Callithrix jacchus: one gene and its partner. The protein of the gene in region 1 binds, or shares a complex with, the protein of each later gene. Links are inferred from orthologs where the notes say so. Each region holds a gene or a part of one and is shown in the gene's direction. Other genes may lie near its edges.

Region 1 (4,519 bases):
TACAGGTGCCAGCGACCACACCCAGCTAACTTTTGTATTTCACCATGTTGGCCAGACTGGTCTCAAGCTCCTGACCTCTTTTTTTTTTTTTTTTTTTTTTGAGACGGAGTCTTGCTCTTTCGCCAGGCGCCAGGCTGGAGTCCAGTGGCGCGATTTCGGCTCACTGCAACCTCCACCTCCTGGGTTCAAGCAATTCTCCTGCCTTAGCCTCCCGAGTAGCTGGGACTACAGGCGCACGCCACCACACCCAGCTAATTTTTTGTATTTTTAGTAGACAAGGGGTTTCACCAATGTTGGCCAGGATGGTCTCAATGTCTTGACCTCGTGATCCACCCTCCTCGGCCCACAATTCTGGGATTACAGGCGTGAGCCACCTCTCCGGGCCGAACTCCTGACCTCAATCAGCCCACCTCCACCTCCCGAAGTGCTGGGATTACAGGCGTGAGCCAACACGGGCCAGAACATGTTTGTTGGATGGATGAATGAATGAACGACTGTCCTGGAGATGAAGATCTACAAAGCTGGGACCATGAAGGTACGTAAGGCCAGAGAAGTTTGAGCTTGGGGAAGGAGCCTGGGAGAAAGGGTTAGTGAGTGGATGAGGGTTTGAAGTCTTAAGTTTGTGGGGAGTGAGATTTGAGGGGAGGCGTCTGAGTGGTGGAATGGAAAGGTATGGGGGCCCTGGAGTGGGACAGGAAGGCGGGGAATGAAACAACAAGCACTTTATGACATTCACTTAATCCACACAACAACCCAATGAGATCGTCATTTTCCCCATTTTACGGATGGGAAAACTGAGGCATACTGAGGCGAGACACTTGCCTGGGGGAAATCGCCAGTGGGGGTGGTGCTGAGATTCAAACCCAGGCGGTTGGCTCCAGACCGTGCTCTTGATCAGTTTGGTACCGGCCCGCCACACAGTAATCTCGCAGGTTTGCCCTACGGCCATTGACACCAGCTGAGGCGGCGGCGCGGGGCCTTGGGGGTGCGGGCAAAGGGGTCTTTGAGGTCGCCCTTGGACCTGACGACCAGCCAAGCCACAGGAAGAGCTGCGCGTGGCGGCACTGAAGTAGGGCCTGTTGCCATGGGAACAAACGCAGGCCTCGGGCGGACGCATGCGCAGATCGGGGAGAGGGTGTTGAACCGGTGAAAGGTGACGTAAAAGCGCACGGGGTGGGGCGCGGGGCTCGGGACGTCAAAGCTCTGCGTCCTTCGGCCCCAGGAGCGGATAGGGACGCACAGCGGCGGCGACAGAAGCGACGGCAGCGGCGACAGCAACCCCTGCTGGGCCGAAACTGGGCAGAGCAGAGCCGACGTCTGAAGCAGCGCGAGTGAAGCGCGAGGGTAGCGCCCGCGTCCGGGAAGACCCCTCGGCGCGAACCGGCGGCCCAGCCCGGGGTCCGGGGCCTCGAGGCCCCGCCTCTAAGGCCTGGGGACTAATCGGATTGAGAGCGCGCCGGCCCGGGCGGCGAACTCGCCAATTGCAGAGGGCGGCAGCCACCGCCCAATCCGGAGCAGACAGGTGCGAGGTCCGGAAGGCGGAGACCAATCGGTGGCGGTTGCGACCTGCTGGGGCAGGTCTCGTCCAATAAGGAGGCTCGAGTGACATCTTCAGGCGCCAATCGGGAGTGAGGGAGCATTCGAGCCCGCTCGCCCTTCCGGCCAGACCTCTATTTACCAGAGGCGTGCAGCCCGCTTGCCAATCAGAGCGCGGCTGAGCGGCCCGGCGGCCAACCCCCGAGGAGCGGCTGGCTGGCGTCCGCCGCGCCCAGGAGTTGGGGATGTCCTACAAACCCATCGCCCCCGCCCCCAGCAGCACCCCTGGCTCCAGCACCCCTGGGCCGGGCACCCCGGTCCCTACAGGTGAGGATCCAGCTCCACCCCTGCTCGCCTGCCGGGCGGTCGAGGTCTCGAAGAGAAGACGGCCTGAGTTCTGCAATACTGGGCCTGCCGCCTACCCCTCGCTGAGCCTCAGTTTGCTGGCCTGTGAAATGGGCGTGGTCATGTAAGGGCTTGTAGGTGGAGCTCAGGGGGAGGGATTTGTCCCTGAAGTTAATCAGCATGGAATGAAGCATCCTTTGGAGGGAATCGGGCGAACGCGGTCCTGGGCTTGGAAAAGCAGGGAGGCGCGTCCCTGCCCAGCGCTGACCTCTTACTCGCGCCTGTTGCTGCAGGAAGCGTGCCGTCGCCGTCGGGCTCAGTGCCAGGAGCCGCCGCCCCTTTCAGACCGCTGTTTAACGACTTTGGACCGCCTTCCATGGGCTATGTGCAGGTGAGTGGGGCCAAAGCCTTGCTTATGGATGGGGACTGGAGTTTCCTTCCCTGCCAGGTGCCTGAGCTCACTGCCCTGTTCTCTTTTGACATAGGCGATGAAGCCACCCGGCGCCCAGGGCTCCCAGAGCACCTACACGGACCTGCTGTCCGTCATAGAGGAGATGGGCAAAGAGATCCGGCCCACCTATGCTGGCAGCAAGAGTGCCATGGAGCGCCTGAAGAGAGGTAAGTGAGGCCAGGCCGCCCTGCCCTGCCCTGCTCCCCTGCTCAGGAAGCCGACACTGCACTATCCTTCATTAGGGAAGTAAGGACATCTGGAGGCCACCCGAGCGACGCCTAGACTAGGGCCAGTATTACTATGCAGAGAGGTATTTTGAATTGAAATTGAGTCCGTTTCCAGGGAAGAGCCTGGGAATTTGTATTTCAACAGGGCCACCTTGAGGATTAGCCAAACCTCTAATCTCATCTCGCCATTATTAGATTTGAATTTCTCTTGCCGAAAGGAAAGGGAGTGGGGAGGCAGTGGTGGTCCTCTGGAGGGCGGAGGTGGGGCTATGGAGGGTTGCTGAGACCCCACCCTACCCCCAGGTATCATCCATGCCCGGGCCCTAGTCAGAGAGTGCCTGGCAGAGACAGAGCGGAACGCCCGCACGTAACAGGAAGCCTCTCGGCCTCAGCGTCTGGACCTTTCCCGGCCACTGCAGAGCACCCGCTTCTCCCTGGCCATCATCCCGAGTTGCACTAACCATCCTGGGCTTCCTGTCCTGTGTCCTTTGGTGGGTGCCCTCCAGGAACCAAAGGGTGGCTCTCACTCCAGGTGGCAGCACTAAGAACGACCCCCCCCACAACAAGAGTTTAGCAGCGAGGTCCCTGTGAGTCGCGCCCATGACCTGCCGACAGTGTTGCCCACCGGAACTTTCTGTGGCCCCCACTGCTCAGCCCCTCCCAGCACTTCTCCCACTTCGTCCCGAGCCTCCCTCTCTCCCAGCAGGGGCTCAGGCCTGGCACCTGCTTGCCTTGTGTCCTGGGCCATAGTGACTCTTTTCTCTGTGTGTCTTTTGCTAAATATGCCCTTTTTATATTAATAAAAGATGATTTGGAGTTGTGCTGTCAGCTCTGAGCCTTTCTGGGTCTGGTTCTTCAGTTAAGCCTGGGTGGGCCAGGCAGAGAAGGAAGAGGAGACTAGGGGTGGGGAGGGTGTGACTGAATGGGGTTTGACTTGCCTCTGTGGGCCACAGGCCTCCTGTGGGACCCAGGCCCTCTCCTGCCCCAGCCCTGGTGCTGAGAGCCCTGGGCCTTCCTGTGGTGCCACCAGGGGGCAGAGCAGGGCCTGGCTGCTTCCACAGCCCTTTGCGCTGTGGGCAGCCTGGGCCTGGAGGGCACTTCCTCTGGATTGGCAGTGATGCCTGGCAGCGTGGAAATGCCAGTTCACGTAAGCCACTCCCTTACACTCCCTAATGCCCTGACAACACCCCAGCCTCTGAATCAGCCCTGAAGGTCTCTGACACCGCAGAGAGAATGCACACTGCTGCTTCCAGCACTGGCCTCAGAGTCAAGCAGAGAGGCTGGCGGGTGCTGCCGTCACCGCCGCAGCACCTGTAGCAGGCTGGGCGTGATCCCAGGAGCCCAGCCTTGGGGTTCCTTAGGGTGCCTCGCCCTTTGCCCAGACTCCGGGTGGCTGGCTCGCCAGACTTGTGGACCCGGAAGGCAGAGGTGGGGGAGGCTTTGTGGCACCACGCAGTGGCTAGCCCAGCCACTCAGAGTGACAGCCCGCTTCTGCCTGGGTGTGTAGCTGGGTGTAGAGGCCCGGGGGCCCTGGAGGTCAGCCCTAGGTGGAGGCACATCAGAGCCACGAGCGTCTGCCTAGACTTTGGTGGGGAGGCATTTCCTCTACCCTGGGTCCCAGGTCCAAGGACTGCAGAGGGTGAGGAGAGGAGAGTGGGCCTGGGACACGCCCCCCCATATCAAACTCCACCCCTTCACTGCACACAGGAGGGCCGGACCAGGGTGGAGATAGGACCTACCAGTCTTTAGGGACCCCAAACAAAACAGAGGGACTAAGGGACTAAACAGAATTTAGGCAATGCCTCTTCCCCACTTCCCAGGGGAAGGAAGGCAGGGGTCTGTCTCCCTGCCTCCGCTGCAGGCGGGGCTGCCCGGACCCCGCCGGGGTGGGGAGGGCCAGGCCGGGCCCAGGAAGGGGGCGGGGCGGCCGCAGTGACGCGGCGGGCGGCGGGGAGGGACA
Region 2 (4,662 bases), on another chromosome or scaffold:
CAGTTTACTGTGTGATTCCAGGTGAATTATTCAACCTATTTGTCAGCTCAGAAAGGGGTGATGTCAGTCATTTTTTGTCAGAATGTTTTTTGGTGGGATCTCTGGTAAATGTTGAATGACAGCTATGCAATCTGCGGAACAGAACACTTTTGCTTTCTTCTCTGGGTCAGAAATTGACACATGGCTCATATTTTGACACACAGCAGAAAACCCTTGGGAATCTGAGGTTTTCTTGGGTTAAAAAGAAAAGCAAGAGACACCTGTTATTTGCATGGTGCTCTGTGTTCCCTGGTTTACAAACCATTTTCAGATATCACAACTGATCCTTTCCACACCTATGAAGGGGAATTGGTGTCCCCACTTTATGGGCAAGGAAACAGGTCATAGAGTCAATATAATTCAACGGTGCTTTGTTATTTATTTGTATGTTTTGCCTCAGCTACGCAGAACACTTTTTTCATATCAATACTTTGTGATAAGGGACCATCACAAATGTCACCACCAAACAACCAAAACACAACTTCTTTTCTGGGGGCACCTCTTACCCCCGCACACACCTCAAACTCAAGTTGGCAGCACACAGCTGTGTATCACAAGACATTGCAAACAAGCCACCACACCAGTAAATCGTCTTCATGTTTATTATGCAGTGATGTCTGGGAGTACTTTGGAATGGACTGTCTTCTCTAAAGAAAGTTATTTTTGGTCGTTTGGGGGATAGCCAGTTAAGATTCAACATTTTTTTTTGTTGTTGTTTCTGTGAGAGTAGGAAGGCCGTGAAAACAGAGGTTGTTTAGAGAATTGGCCTGCGACAATAACCATTTAGAAGCTTTAGACACATAACCAGTTAAGTGTCCATCAATATCAAGCTGATTGAACAGCATCTCCTCTTCTTGGGGGTGGTGGTGATCGTGAACTGTAGGGTCCTGTTCCCCCATGGACAAAGGAAGCCCCCAATCCTAAAGGTCCCTTATCCCAGAAGAACAGGCACTGCATAAATAGGGCCTGTCTAGAGCCAGGGCCTGTATCTGGGTGTTGGAGAGTTGGTTCTGCTCAGTTGGGATGAACGATGGCGCATTTAGGGTGGCCTAGAAGGGAGTTTTTCTAGCTCTGTCCCCGGCTGGGTCTCTGGCGAGGCGGGAACTACGTGGGGTCTTCCTGGCCCCAGAACCTGCAGGTACCAGGCCGCCCCCGTGGACCTCACCAGAAGGAAGGAACCCTGCTGCTTACACTTATTTGCATCCAAGAGATTGCACTGAGACTGGCGCTTGCCTACTAGGTCAGACACACGGGGGTTCCTCAGGGACGGAAGCAGGGAAGGAGGACCTGTCTCGGGGTGGGCAGGTGATGGGATACCCTGGGTGGGGCAAGAGGCCCTGCGGAGAGGCTGAGCGCCAGCCCCGACTCCAATTCTCTAACAGCCCCTGGTCCGCATTTCAGTCCAGACTTCCGCCTCGGCCAGGACCCTGGCCCCAGGGCCCTCCACTTCCAACAAGGCACCCCACTCTCCCTCCCGCTTCCCATTCCCTCCCCCCAATTCCCGCTGGCCCCACAGCGCTCGGGCCTCCCCCGGCCCGGCCCGGCCCACTCGGCTTCGCTAGCCTGGCGCTGGGGGCGGGCACCAGCCCCCACCCCTCGGCGTCCCCTCCCCTTCACTTCCCCCTCCCCCGCCCCCTCCCTTCCCTCCCTTCCCCCCGGTGGCTAGGCAGCGGCGGCGGCGGCGGCGGCAGCGGCGGTCGAGGCTGAGGCTGAGGAGGCGGCGGCGGCAGCGGGCGGGGCTCGGCTCGGGCTCCGCGGGCGGGCGGGCGGACATGGCGGCCAACATGTACCGGGTCGGAGGTAGGCAGGCTCGGCCCGACCCGGCCCGTGTGGGAGCGGGCTCCGGGAGCGGGGGGCGGGGGCCGGGGCGAGCGCAAGCGAAGTGCCGGGAGCCAAGGGTGCGGGGGCTGAGGGCGCAGCGGACGGGGGCGCCGGGGCCCGCAGAGGGGCCGGGGCTCCCCACCCCCACCTTTTCCCTCCCCTCCCCCCACGGTGGCCTGCGAGGAGCTGGGGCCACCTTCACCCTCTCACCCCACCTCGTCTTTAGGGCCAGGCCTCTACTTGGGGGTACGAATGACCAGACGCCCCCCCCTCCACGAAACCTTCATGGGAGTAGGGCCCGTCGAGCCCCCTGAGAAGGTGGCCGTCTCCTTGCGTGGCTTCTAGGCGCTGGAGAGGATGGGGGGACATCCCCTCCCCTGTTCCTTCTCCCCTCAGTGGGAGCCTGGGGTGGGGGTGGGGGCCCAGCCAGGGGCGCAGCTGGACGGGCCTGTTAGCGGGACGGGGCCCTGCACCTCCCCTTCCTCGCCTCCCTCGTTTCGTTTCTGGTCCAGCCCCCCACAAATGGGGCTTCGTAGGGCCTGGGAACCTCTGCCGGAGGTGGGGAGTTGAGCTCTGCCTGGACGTTTGCTCTGCTGCCTGCCTCCTTCCCAGTCTTCTGCGGAAGAGAGAAATAAGGTCAAACAAACTTTCTCCCTACTCAAGACGCCCTCCTCCCTCTTTCCTGGTAAAATAATAATTCAGATAAGTGGCGTGTTTGTATGAGAGACCGGCTCTTCCTTCTCTGCTCATTAGCCGAGCTTCTGATGGATAGTAGTAGGAATCGCCTGGCTAAATGAGGCCACTTTGCAGAAGAGAGCCGCGAAAGAGCCGCTAAGATAGACAATAACAGCACAGCCCTGCCTTTCAGATAAACACACAGTGGGAAGTTTCCAGCGAGCCTATTAGATGAGACGAAAAGCCACACTTGAAAAATTTTATCCTTTTAGTTGAAAGCCTGCGGCAATTTCTTAACCACAAGACATTAAATAGATTTGGATTAAATATGGTAAAAGGCTAAAAAACATTATGGTATCACCCCCAGAGCACTTTCCCTCTTAGAAGTGATCCCCTTGGCCCCCCTGTTTTCTCATCTTTCCAGACAGAGCTGTGGAAAAGTTTGTCAGCGTTCTTCCTCTTACCTGCTCTGCTCACCTGATTTTTTTTTTTAAGTAGTGATTGAAATGTAGGTTGGACTGTGAAGCCTTTCTCCGTGCTCTGAATGTCTTAGGTCAATAGTTTTATGTGAGAAGCAGCCTCCAGGGCAAATTGGATTGGAGGAAAAAGATGTGGAAGTAGTTACAGTACAGAGGACACATGTTTAGTGTGCCCTAACTGTACAGTGATAAGAGGTGCCTTTTTTGTTTATTATTAAAGAAATGACATATTGGGACAGAAGTCTAGGAGAACCTGGTAAAACGTTAATTGAAATGAAAATGCCAAGAAAATAAAGGTCTGTGAATCGTAGGCAGATAAGAGAATATATTAAGGCTATTTGCTTTTACCAGTGAATGAATTATGAGCTTAATTTCAAATGTGAATTGCCTAACATTAAAAGTCATGGACTGACAAATCTGAGCTTTCTGTTGAAAAGATTAAATTCTGTATTTCCTTTAATTACAGATTATGTGTACTTTGAGAATTCCTCCAGCAACCCATACCTAATAAGAAGGATAGAAGAACTCAACAAGGTATACATTTAGTGTTCTTAATTTTAATATTAAAAATATTTGTTTTTCCTTGACGGATGATTGGGTAGAGGGTGGCCTGGCGAAGAGATTCTTGCCTGCAATTCCAGTACTTTGGGACGGTGGGCAGGGGGAGACCAGCCTGTGCAACATAGTGAGACCCCATCTCTATTTTTTAAAAATTAAATAAAAAATAAACTGGGTAAAGATTATAAGAGGTGGCTCTACTTTCAGTCCTAGACACTTTGAAAGTTGAGGTTTTAGGCCAGGTGCAGTGGCTCATGCCTATAATCCTAGCACTTTGGGAGGCTGAGGCAGGTGGATCACTTGAGGTCAGAAGTTCAAGACCAGTCTGGCCAACATGGTGAAACCCCTTTTCTACTAAAAAAGTACAAAAAATTAGTCAAGCATGGTGGCATGCACCTGTAATCTTAGGTAGTCAGGAGGCTGAGGCAGGAGAATCGCTTGATCCTGGGAGGTGGAGGTTGCAGTGAGCCGAGATCATGCCATTGCACTCCAGCCTGGGCAAGAGAGCAAGACTCCAAAAAAAAAAAAAGTTGAGATTTTAGAGAGTTACGCAGGATTCCGAATTCTTAATATTCTTTTGCTTTTTCTGTTACTGAATATTTAAAAGTCTGCAGATTTCTTCAAATTGCTTAGAGCCTCTGAAAGAGCAGTTTACTTCTGTAACTCAGACCCTTTTTATATTTAGAGTCATCATGGGCCAGGTGCAGTGGCTCATGCCTGTAATCTCAACACTCTAGGAGGCTGAGGCAGTCAGATCACTTGAGGGCAGGAGTTCGAGACCAGCCTGGCCGATAGGTGAAACCCCATTTCTCTTAAAATTACAAAAATTAGCCAGAGGTGGTGGTGGGCACCTGTAGTCCCAGCTACTTGGGAGGCTGAGGCAGGAGAATCACTTGAACCTGGTAGGCGGAGGTTGTAGTAGCCGACAGAGCAAGACTCTGTCTAAAAAACAAAAAAGAGTCATAATATGTATGTCTCCCTTTTTAGTGAATTAATATTTTCCTCTTCTAGGTTTAGAAGGAGGAAGCTGGGGAATATAATACTGAAGGGAATTTGTAAAATTCTGAACTAGACCAAATTGTATCATTGG

What was found. Proteins that work in one complex are often made in the same cells at the same time.
Region 2: CDK2AP2 (region 1) and MTA3 share a complex: the UniProt entries of both Homo sapiens proteins name them as parts of the nucleosome remodeling and deacetylase (NuRD) repressor complex. The link is inferred for Callithrix jacchus from reciprocal best matches to the Homo sapiens genes CDK2AP2 and MTA3.

Annotation. Positions count from the first base shown.
Region 1 is NC_133511.1:124,584,211-124,588,729, reverse strand, and holds CDK2AP2 (cyclin-dependent kinase 2-associated protein 2), read left to right. Parts: upstream 1-1,701; 5' UTR 1,702-1,781; coding exon 1,782-1,863; exon of another isoform or gene 1,864-2,005; intron 2,006-2,174; coding exon 2,175-2,272; intron 2,273-2,366; coding exon 2,367-2,499; intron 2,500-2,862; coding exon 2,863-2,930; 3' UTR 2,931-3,387; downstream 3,388-4,519. UniProt on the Homo sapiens protein: Acts as a component of the histone deacetylase NuRD complex which participates in the remodeling of chromatin.
Region 2 is NC_133515.1:72,273,281-72,277,942, reverse strand, and holds the start of MTA3 (metastasis-associated protein MTA3), read left to right. Parts: upstream 1-1,781; 5' UTR 1,782-1,811; coding exon 1,812-1,839; intron 1,840-3,480; coding exon 3,481-3,548; intron 3,549-4,662. UniProt on the Homo sapiens protein: Acts as a component of the histone deacetylase NuRD complex which participates in the remodeling of chromatin.